2 linked regions of the Saccharomyces cerevisiae S288C genome follow. The gene in region 2 interacts genetically with the main gene of each other region. Each region holds a gene or a part of one and is shown on either strand. Other genes may lie near its edges.

What was found. A genetic interaction does not mean that the proteins touch.
Region 1: mutations in GRX8 (region 2) and CUL3 together harm fitness more than expected from each alone (negative genetic interaction), as found in Saccharomyces cerevisiae (one large-scale study listed by BioGRID).

What each region holds. Positions count from the first base shown.
Region 1 is NC_001139.9:498,022-505,392, reverse strand, and holds CUL3 (cullin CUL3), read right to left. Parts: upstream 5,262-7,371; coding exon 3,027-5,261; downstream 1-3,026. Other genes in the region: transcription factor IIF subunit TFG2, read left to right, coding at 1-736; PEX31 (peroxisome biogenesis protein), read right to left, coding at 1,067-2,455; SWC4 (Swc4p), read left to right, coding at 5,487-6,917; EFM5 (protein-lysine N-methyltransferase), read left to right, coding at 7,359-7,371. UniProt on the Saccharomyces cerevisiae protein: As part of the CRL3 E3 ubiquitin ligase complex; polyubiquitylates monoubiquitylated RNA polymerase II subunit RPO21 to trigger its proteolysis; plays a role in global genomic repair.
Region 2 is NC_001144.5:852,441-854,891, reverse strand, and holds GRX8 (glutathione-disulfide reductase GRX8), read right to left. Parts: upstream 831-2,451; coding exon 501-830; downstream 1-500. Other genes in the region: YLR363W-A (uncharacterized protein), read right to left, coding at 1,174-1,431; NMD4 (Nmd4p), read left to right, coding at 1,741-2,397. UniProt on the Saccharomyces cerevisiae protein: Glutathione-dependent oxidoreductase with lower activity compared to the other members of the glutaredoxin family.

The DNA.
Region 1 (7,371 bases), on a different chromosome or scaffold from region 2:
GCAAAGGCAAGCTTACCTGAAGAAGCAAGAACGTGAAGAGGAACTTAAGAAGAAGCAGCAGCAGCAAAAACGTAGAAATAATAGAAAAAAGTTTAATCACAGAGTTATGACAGATAGGGATGGTAGAGATAGATATATACCATATGTGAAGACGATTCCCAAAAAAACCGCCATTGTGGGTACAGTTTGCCACGAATGTCAGGTTATGCCATCAATGAATGATCCTAATTATCACAAGATTGTTGAACAGAGAAGAAATATTGTCAAGCTTAATAATAAGGAAAGGATCACAACTTTGGATGAAACCGTTGGTGTTACGATGAGCCACACAGGTATGTCCATGAGGTCAGACAACTCGAATTTCTTGAAAGTGGGGCGTGAGAAGGCCAAGAGCAATATTAAATCTATTCGTATGCCAAAGAAGGAAATCTTGGATTACTTGTTCAAGTTATTTGATGAGTATGACTACTGGTCCTTGAAGGGGTTGAAGGAACGTACTAGGCAACCTGAAGCACATTTAAAGGAGTGTTTGGATAAAGTTGCCACTCTAGTGAAGAAGGGCCCATATGCATTCAAATACACTTTAAGGCCAGAGTATAAAAAGTTGAAAGAGGAGGAGAGAAAGGCAACCTTAGGTGAACTAGCTGATGAGCAAACAGGTTCCGCTGGAGACAATGCGCAAGGAGACGCGGAGGCTGACTTGGAAGATGAAATAGAAATGGAAGATGTCGTTTAGTTGACAATCAGATTTTCTTCATTAATTTTATATTTACGCAGTTTCTTGAGCCCTATATATACTCTTTTTAAAATTTACAGTTTTGTTTAATTTATTATGTCTCTATTAGTTTTGGCTATCTGTACATATGTATTTAGATGCATTGAAGTTCCGTAAAAGAATGCTTGCTGGAATAAGAGACTGATGGAGAACTTGCCATAACCGCGCAGATACTTTAAAGCACAAGATTGAATTTGTGCTCCATGCAGCCAATGAAAGAAACTCTGAGATTGCTGTGTGCCCTTGCACCGACCAGTGTGAACGTTGTTGTCCATATGGGGCATGCACTCATTATAGAGAAGGAGACATTGAAACATCAGATATTTGTATTAATTTGCTACTGTCCGAGGAAGGTATGATATGCACTTCATTTGCTGTACTAAATGACACTTTTCTTTTTCTAACTCTATTATTTTCTTCACTCTTCAGAGCATGAGAATTCGGTGTAGCTTTTTCTACAGTGGGCTCATCGTCATACGTTGTTGTTACTGTTGCAGTCCTGATCCACCTCCTTCTTCTTGTGTACTTTTTATATGTGTCCGTTGCAGAGGGATTATTCCAGGTGTTATCATAATATATGAAACCTTCATCTGCACCTGGCTTAACTTTTGTCTTAGCAGCAGAAGCAGGAAGTTGAATGATCCCATCATTTGTTAGGTCAAGCATCCAATCTTTATCGTGCCATTCCCAAGCCATTCCCGACTGCTCCTCTGGTAAAGTAAACACTTCTGGGCTTGGAGAAGTATTTAGGAATTCATCTGTCCAAGATGCGCGCTCATAACTCAACATAGTTGATGTCCATCCGATGCCAAGCCAGCGGCGCTGGTTTTCAAACAGAGCAACCTTGAAAAGTACAGTCTTTTTAGTGTTAGATGTGTTCCCTACCTCATTCCAAACAAAGGACCTTATTTTCTTATTGACAGAAGCAAACAAGCGCCTATTATTATCTGGTCCACCAAGGTCTAATCCTGTTATGAAAAATACAAGTAATCTAACAACGCGAAATTTCCACAAGTATCTTCTCATTCTTCGGATTAGTTTAGAATGGTACGTAAGCACATACAGACCCCCTATTAACATTAAATAGTTTGGAGATAGCACAAACACTGTTAGAAAAATATAAACTGGGGATAGGAAGGCAATGGTAAATAACAGTCTTCTAACATCCTGAGCGCTCAAAATCGTAATAGGAGATAACACAGCGCTAGATTTCATAGAAACCCTATCCATAACGTGTATTATATCATCCAATGAAGGGCAAGATGCCATTGTTTCTTGAACGTGCTTGTCAATTAAAAGATATACCCATATTATACCAACGATCATTAAATGTCCAAAATACCTTGTAATAAATCCAAAATATAGAACACAAACCGTAAATAAGAATATTCCAAGCAAGTTTGCAGAGACATTGTCATTGGACCAAGTGATGATACTTAGAAAGTTATCCACAACAATTAAATATGGGTATAACCTCACTAATGACCTGGAGACTGTTTTAGGTGTTGAAGTCAATAAAGGAGATGATAAAATAGCCTCTTGATCTTCCTCATAAGTTTGGGCGCTTAATTTACCTCTTCGTTTTCTTAAAGCGCTACGAATGTGTTTATTCTTGCTTTCTGTAGACTCAGCTACTGTACTTGAGGTTGGCTCTAGATTTTCATTATTTATTTCGCTCATACTATCAAATAAAGGGAAACCAAGGCTTGACAACCAGGGAAGAATACCAAATTTAAAAGTGCCGCTTTATTGATAATAATTTTGGTGAGCTTCTCTTATACCGTAAATTTCAACATATATTTTTCTACCAGGAAAAGTGAAATACGGCCGCTAAGCATCTGAAAAAAAAAAAAGAGCAAGGCGCTGCTATTGATAATAGTTCCTTTGAAGCAGTGCTACGCAGGTCTGAAAGGCTCGTAACTTTAACTTACTTAATGATTAAGAAAGAAATTATTTGACTCAACAAATTCCTAGAAGTTTTTTATAAAAATATAATGAGGCATAATAAACTTCAAGAGATATCGATTACCCACTCCACATTACATTCAAGTTTGACTGGGATATATAGTCTACCATAACTATGTTATTATATATTTTGAAAGTTTCACTAAGGAATGCAGGATGAACATTCAATTAGTATCGACGCATATCCTCTTAATATTGTTCGCTCTGGCAGCCGGATAGGAACTGCCATCTATATATACTGTTGGCATTCTGCAAACCTTATACCTGTGATTTTCATTATAAGCAATTAGGAAAGGTAATGGTAATAAGAGGGGTCATCTGCGTTTCTCTGGATGTATTCTTTCTCTATTAAAAGCTGAATGCTTCGTTTCAAAATGCTCGGTGTAAGACTGAGCCGAGACTGTGTCCGTTTCGTAGTTCTTTCAAGTAATTGCTGATGGCTTAGCTTACCTTCTGTTTTCATGATACGAACAATAATAGCACTAAGCTCCATAACAATTTCATTATCATAAGTGTCCACGGAACTTGCGGTTGCCAAATTATCTGATTTCTGAGATGGTAGAGGGCATGCAATAACCGGCACTTTCACTTTCCTGTTTGGAGAAGAAAAGAAATAATTAACTGAAAATTTCATATTTCCTGAACTGGATGATTTTTTCAAAATCTTACATCTGGGTATTGTCGACATTGACATTACAAGAGACTTAACGTCATCTATGGGAATATGAGTTAGTTCATATATTTCCCCCAACGTTAATTCTTCATAATCTTCAAATAGAAGGAAAATCACTCCAGCGTAAACAGAAAAACTTATTTCGTAGTAACCGCTATTAAATTGGCAGCCAATTTCAATTACACTTAGATGATGAGCCCACTTTAGCACTCTTTCTTTGTATTTTAAGCTGTAATAGCCCTCAAAGCCAGCTAAAATTTGTGACATTCTAGGAGGTAGTGAAATACCTTCATCAATTGGATTAGTACTCTGAAAGGGCCAGCTCGTTCTCGTCAAAACTTGTGGTGCAAAACTCAAATATTCTATGCTGTTGATTGTTGAGTGTTGGAATGCTTGATACATTTCAGAGGATAAAGATATATCTCGCAGCATTATCTCCAATTTTGAGGTAAAAAAAGTTCCTAGAACCTTCTTTATCATTTGCACCATCCATTTTTCAATTTCCACTAAAGACCTCTGCTGCAGTAATCTTCTGGAGAGTTGTTTTTTGTAAATCTTTTCAAATATATCCTTCTCAGTTAGGAGTCCGATTAATTTGGTACTATCAAGCAAATCTTGCTTGATCTTCACTATTTCAGCATCTTTTTCCTTGGTTCGTTTCATACAATGGTCCACGTAGGTAGAAAGATACTCAGATGGTAATGCTCCTTCTTTAGAGAAATACATTGAGAAAACATCGCCAAGTATTGCATTAGATACATCCCCGGTCAAATTATTAAGACGAACAGAACCAAAATCAATACTTTCCAAAAACGAGTGTTGACTGCGATATAGCTCTACAATTTCCGAAGACCAAGTAATCGCATTCTGCCCTTTTTTGCGGTTACCTTCATTAAAAGGAATATTTATGGCATTTTTATTGATGTAAGATTTAATAGATTCAATGACAGTAACGCGATATTTTTCCTCGCTTGACAAGTCATAAATTTCTTGGAGTAGCTTTCCATTTGAAATTACCATTGCTTCGTGCGTTAGATCTTCAATAATATCACTCAACTTTCCCCATATAAGGACATTTTCTAATACAGTCTTCAACTTATTATGAGAATCCACATTTAGAAAAGAGGAGTCTAGCATACTTTCAAACTGCCTTAACTTCCTAATCTTTTCCAGGCTCTCAATTGGCGTTAATAATTCAATATCAATAGCTTTATTGTAGTATTCTTCTGTCGCGCTAATCAAAACCGGCTCAAAATCGGTTAAGAAAAAACTATCTCTATTGTCATGTAATGTCTCCATCATTCCTATTAGTACTTTCCACAAACTAGTATGTTCGGAGTCGACAGATCCTAAATTACGAATCCTTTCTATATCAGATATCAGTGCTGAGATGAGAGAAGATGAGCATTTTTGCAATATTTCGATTCGGAAAAGATCGAGGCACATGTCGTATACCTCCATGCATCTATTTGGTTTGCAATAAACTTTGTCCATATACATCATTAAGTCTCCCGTTATTTTAAAACAATGGCATTGCACCTCCCATAACCGTGCCATAGTTCCAAGAAACTCATAATCATGAGTATTGTCCTTGACTATCGTTTCCCTCAAAAGCGCTAATTTTTGGATTAAATAATCTTTCAATCTGTTATAAAGTATTGGCCCCTTTTTATTTAAAACGATAGTATAAATGGTCTTGTACACTTGTTCGAAGGAAAGGTCGGCCATGTCATCGCTGTATATATGATCAATGGCATATTTAACTGTTTCCCAGGATTCCTCAAAAGATTCTTCTGACAAACCGAGTTTTTCTGGGACACTTATCTTTATTTTCTTATTAGTTATCATATAGTAGCCCTAATTTCAGATTTGAGTTAGCCCGTTTAGAGTATACTTTATATGAATCAGATTAGAATACGCACACTCGAACTTATTTAATGAAGTTGCGATGCGCCAACTCCGGGTAGCTATTTAGTGATAAATCAAGAATCCACTTTGTATTTTAATAGCAACAAGCATTCATAACATATTTCTCCGATAATACGAAAATTTAGTAAAAAAACCACAGGTAATATGTCATCATCAGACATCTTTGATGTACTAAACATTAAGCAAAAATCCAGAAGTCCAACTAATGGCCAGGTATCAGTGCCTTCGTCCTCGGCAGCCAACCGGCCCAAGCCTCAAGTGACGGGCATGCAAAGAGAACTATTTAACCTGCTAGGAGAGAACCAACCCCCCGTTGTTATTAAGTCTGGAAATAACTTTAAAGAAAAAATGCTTTCGACGTCCAAGCCATCTCCTTGGTCATTTGTAGAGTTCAAAGCTAATAACTCTGTGACTCTGCGTCATTGGGTCAAGGGTTCCAAAGAATTAATAGGAGACACACCAAAAGAATCGCCATATTCTAAGTTCAATCAGCATTTATCTATTCCATCATTCACCAAGGAGGAGTACGAGGCTTTTATGAATGAAAACGAAGGAACTCAAAAAAGCGTAGAAAGTGAAAAAAACCATAACGAAAACTTTACTAATGAAAAGAAGGATGAAAGTAAAAATAGCTGGTCTTTTGAAGAAATAGAATACCTGTTCAATCTCTGCAAAAAATACGATTTACGTTGGTTCCTGATCTTTGACAGATACAGTTATAATAATTCAAGAACACTTGAAGATCTCAAAGAAAAATTTTATTACACCTGTAGGAATTATTTTAAAGCAAGTGATCCTAGCAATCCGCTTTTATCTTCTTTGAATTTTTCAGCTGAAAAGGAGATAGAGAGAAAAAAGTATTTACAGCGTCTTCTTTCTCGTTCTGCAGCAGAAATTGCTGAAGAAGAGGCACTCGTAGTAGAGTCCAAAAAATTTGAAATGGCTGCCAAGAGAACACTTGCAGAAAGAGAATCATTACTCCGACTGTTGGACTCGCCACATTCAGATCAGACAATTACACAATACCTTACCTCTCAGGGAATGTCTCAGTTATATAACGCGCTTCTAGCAGATAAAACTAGAAAGCGGAAGCACGATTTGAACATCCCTGAAAATCCTTGGATGAAGCAGCAACAGCAGTTTGCCCAACATAGGCAACTTCAACAACTGAATGTAAAAAAGTCAGAAGTCAAGGAAAATCTCTCCCCCAAGAAAACCAAAAGACAAAGACAGGAAATGCAAACGGCGCTCAAAAGAAAGTCAGAAAGCGCATATGCAGAACAATTGCTGAAAGATTTCAATTCAGATGAAAGGAAGGCTTTAGGTGTGATTACGCATGGTGAGAAGCTATCGCCGGGTGTATACTTAAGATCTACAAAATTATCGACCTTCAAACCTGCGCTGCAGAACAAAATTCTCGCCATTCTTCAAGAATTATCGTTACCTTCTCGCCCTGTGATGCCCTCATTTGATGTAATGGAAAGACAAGAGGAGCTTTTGAAAAAAATCAATACGCTTATCGATTTAAAAAAACACGTTGACAAATACGAAGCTGGTATGTCAATCACCAAGTGAACATCAGAAAATGCTTTTTGCTAGCACGTATGTGATTAAAATTTTTGCGTAAAATAGACTGTTTTATAATATTTGGTGTACAACATGGGACCTTCAGAGGTACTTTCGGAAATCACGCAAATATTATGCACTAGTAACCCTCAATCTCTAAATAACTTATATTGTCATCTGTAAGGCAGCAAAATCCAAGATGGGCAATGTATATAGGTATATAGTTTAGTATTGTCATCTCATAGAATATCAACTGCATAATATACATGTATATATAATTTCCCATTCATTTAGAGGCTTCTTTTTTCGTCTGTATCGCTGAACCTTATGCCGGTTAAATCTAACAAAATTTTTTTGAACTGGAGGAACTAAAAAAAAAAATATTAATCTTGACTAATATACTAATCAGTCACTTTACATCTTAATGAAACCGAAAGAATCACTGATAAAATGTCCGACTCCG
Region 2 (2,451 bases):
ACAAAATTGTCTATGCGGCAGTGAAATTCTGCATCGCAATGACATAGCTTAGAGCAGTCAGAAAAGTGATTGTACATTCATGTGATAATTTGACGCGGAGACTGTGTAAAGTCTTTGACATTTTGTAAATGAAAGGTATACATTAAATTACATTTTTCACCTAAATTTTTAGTCATATATTTGACTTTCATCTTCTATGATATTGGTATTTTTAAACTATCATAGATAGTCATTATTTAACCATTCCAAAATGAAAGAAAACGGAAATGGTGCTTGGAGCGCTGTCTTTCTATATGACACTGATGAAGGTGCTTAGCGTCAACGTTTTATGGGAACAATCTCTTGGATATCTTTACATATGGACTGCTAAAGAAGAGGTTAATGAGGAAGCGCTCACGCTTCTATAGAAGGAAGAATGGGAGGCCTTTATTTGCTTACCCGTGTTTTCGAAATATTCCAGACATATTACGTACATATTAATATAAAAATATCCAACCTGTTCAAGGCAGAAGCCCGATTTTAGTCAATTCCTCCTCAAGAGTGCCTTTTGCTTCAAATCTATGCAATTGACTCTCAGTACCCCAGAATTTACCATTGACAACTATCGTTGGTAAGTTTCTGCTACCAACAACTTTTTGGAACGCAATTCTCCATTTTTCCTGTTCGTTTCTTGGAAGTGAACCAATATCAAAAACGAAAACTTTGTCCTGTACATTCAACTTATTCCAAATGGAATTAGCATAGACGCAGTCGGGGCACCAGCTGGCGGATAACTGGAAATATGGATGAGATTTGATCATCTCTTCAGCTTTAGTAACAAAGGCAGACATTATTTGATGTTGTACTTATTCTATAAATATGCGATATTTACTCCTCTTCTGGCCAAACTGGGAATACATAATTTTACAACACTTACGTCTGCTTAAATAGCAAACCTGTGTCGATTTTTTTTACAAACTGTGGCATCAACACTTAATTCACCATATTGTTAAATTTCTCGCGGGAAACAAAAAAGCAACGCATTTTTTCTATTGGATAACTTAGAAGTTACAAAGCTAATATACAAACACTAGGATCAAATTGGACTATAAAAAATTTGATGAGATGTACCTAGATAGTCCTTACCCGAAAATAAATACCTTTCAATGATGGGCGAATCTTATTCACTTGAAATCATTTAGAGTTCTTCTTACCTTTTTCCAACTCCTTTCTAGTACCTCTCAACAACTCCAAATGCCCGACTTTACTCGCAACTAATCTTTCAGTGGTTTCGGTAAGGGAAGAGCTCTTTTTCAATTTCTTCAGATGTTGCAAAGATTTCTTTTTTGATTTCAATTGCAATGGGGCAGCTTTTCTCAAATTTTTTTGTTTCTTTGTGACCCTACGGGGGTCCTTGGCTTTCTTAGTAACTTTAAGTGGTTTTTGAGGCATATTGTAGCTTATGGACTTTATGAATACTAGTTATCTTTACAAAAGGTGCAAGTAATAATACCATCTCATCGTTAATAAACTGATGTATACTACTATTTTCCAAAAGAACCTGAAAAATTCAATACCTTCGTAAAACGTGACGACTTTCATAATCTCAGAAATTGATTTGAAGTAACAATGAAGAGCGCTTTAATTTAAAAGTTAGTGTAGTGGTGTTATAGAAGAATATTACACCTGCTAATATCATTCATTCGTGAAATATAAGCACCTTCTTTCTTTCCAATTTTGGTCTCCTCAAAAAGCAGGTTAATGACACAATATAATTTCATTATAGATGCTTCAGCTTTTGAAAAGGGTCTAGGCAACATCAAGAGGTGGTGCTCGGACTGTACAGAAGCTGTGACTTTGAACTTTTATATTCCAACATTCACATTAAATGAATTGGATTTCCTTCAACAAAGGCGTAAAAGTTTTGCAGCTCGAGAATCCTTGAAGTTTATCGATAGATTAGATGATTCTAAATTTGCTAATTTGAAAGTTTTTATCGAATTTCCCGAAGTTTTAGACATTATTTTATGGTCAGATGTAATGGAACATAATGATAGTTCTGGAAAGATTAATATTGCAAAATTGCCTAAGAGATTAAAGAATTTGTTGAAAAGTTGTATTTACAAATGCTACCTAGAAGGAAATGAGGGGCTACATTGGTTTTTAATTAGTGAAGATCCTCAAATCCGGGAAATGGCCATGCAATGCAATATTCCTTCCTGTTCAATTGTTGATGTAGATTCAATCTTGTCCAAGGACATGAATGATAAATCATTTAGAGAAAGTGAAAAATTCAATAATATGATGCTAAAAAATGGCACTAAGGAAGAAAGCGAAAACGGTAGAGAAATTATCAGGACTAACTTCAATAAAACAGTTTACGCTTCTAGAGGTACAGGCGAATTGTGGTCCCCATAAAAACAAGCATTTTTCAAATATTTCAATATCATTTTTGATAGATGGCTTTATCTT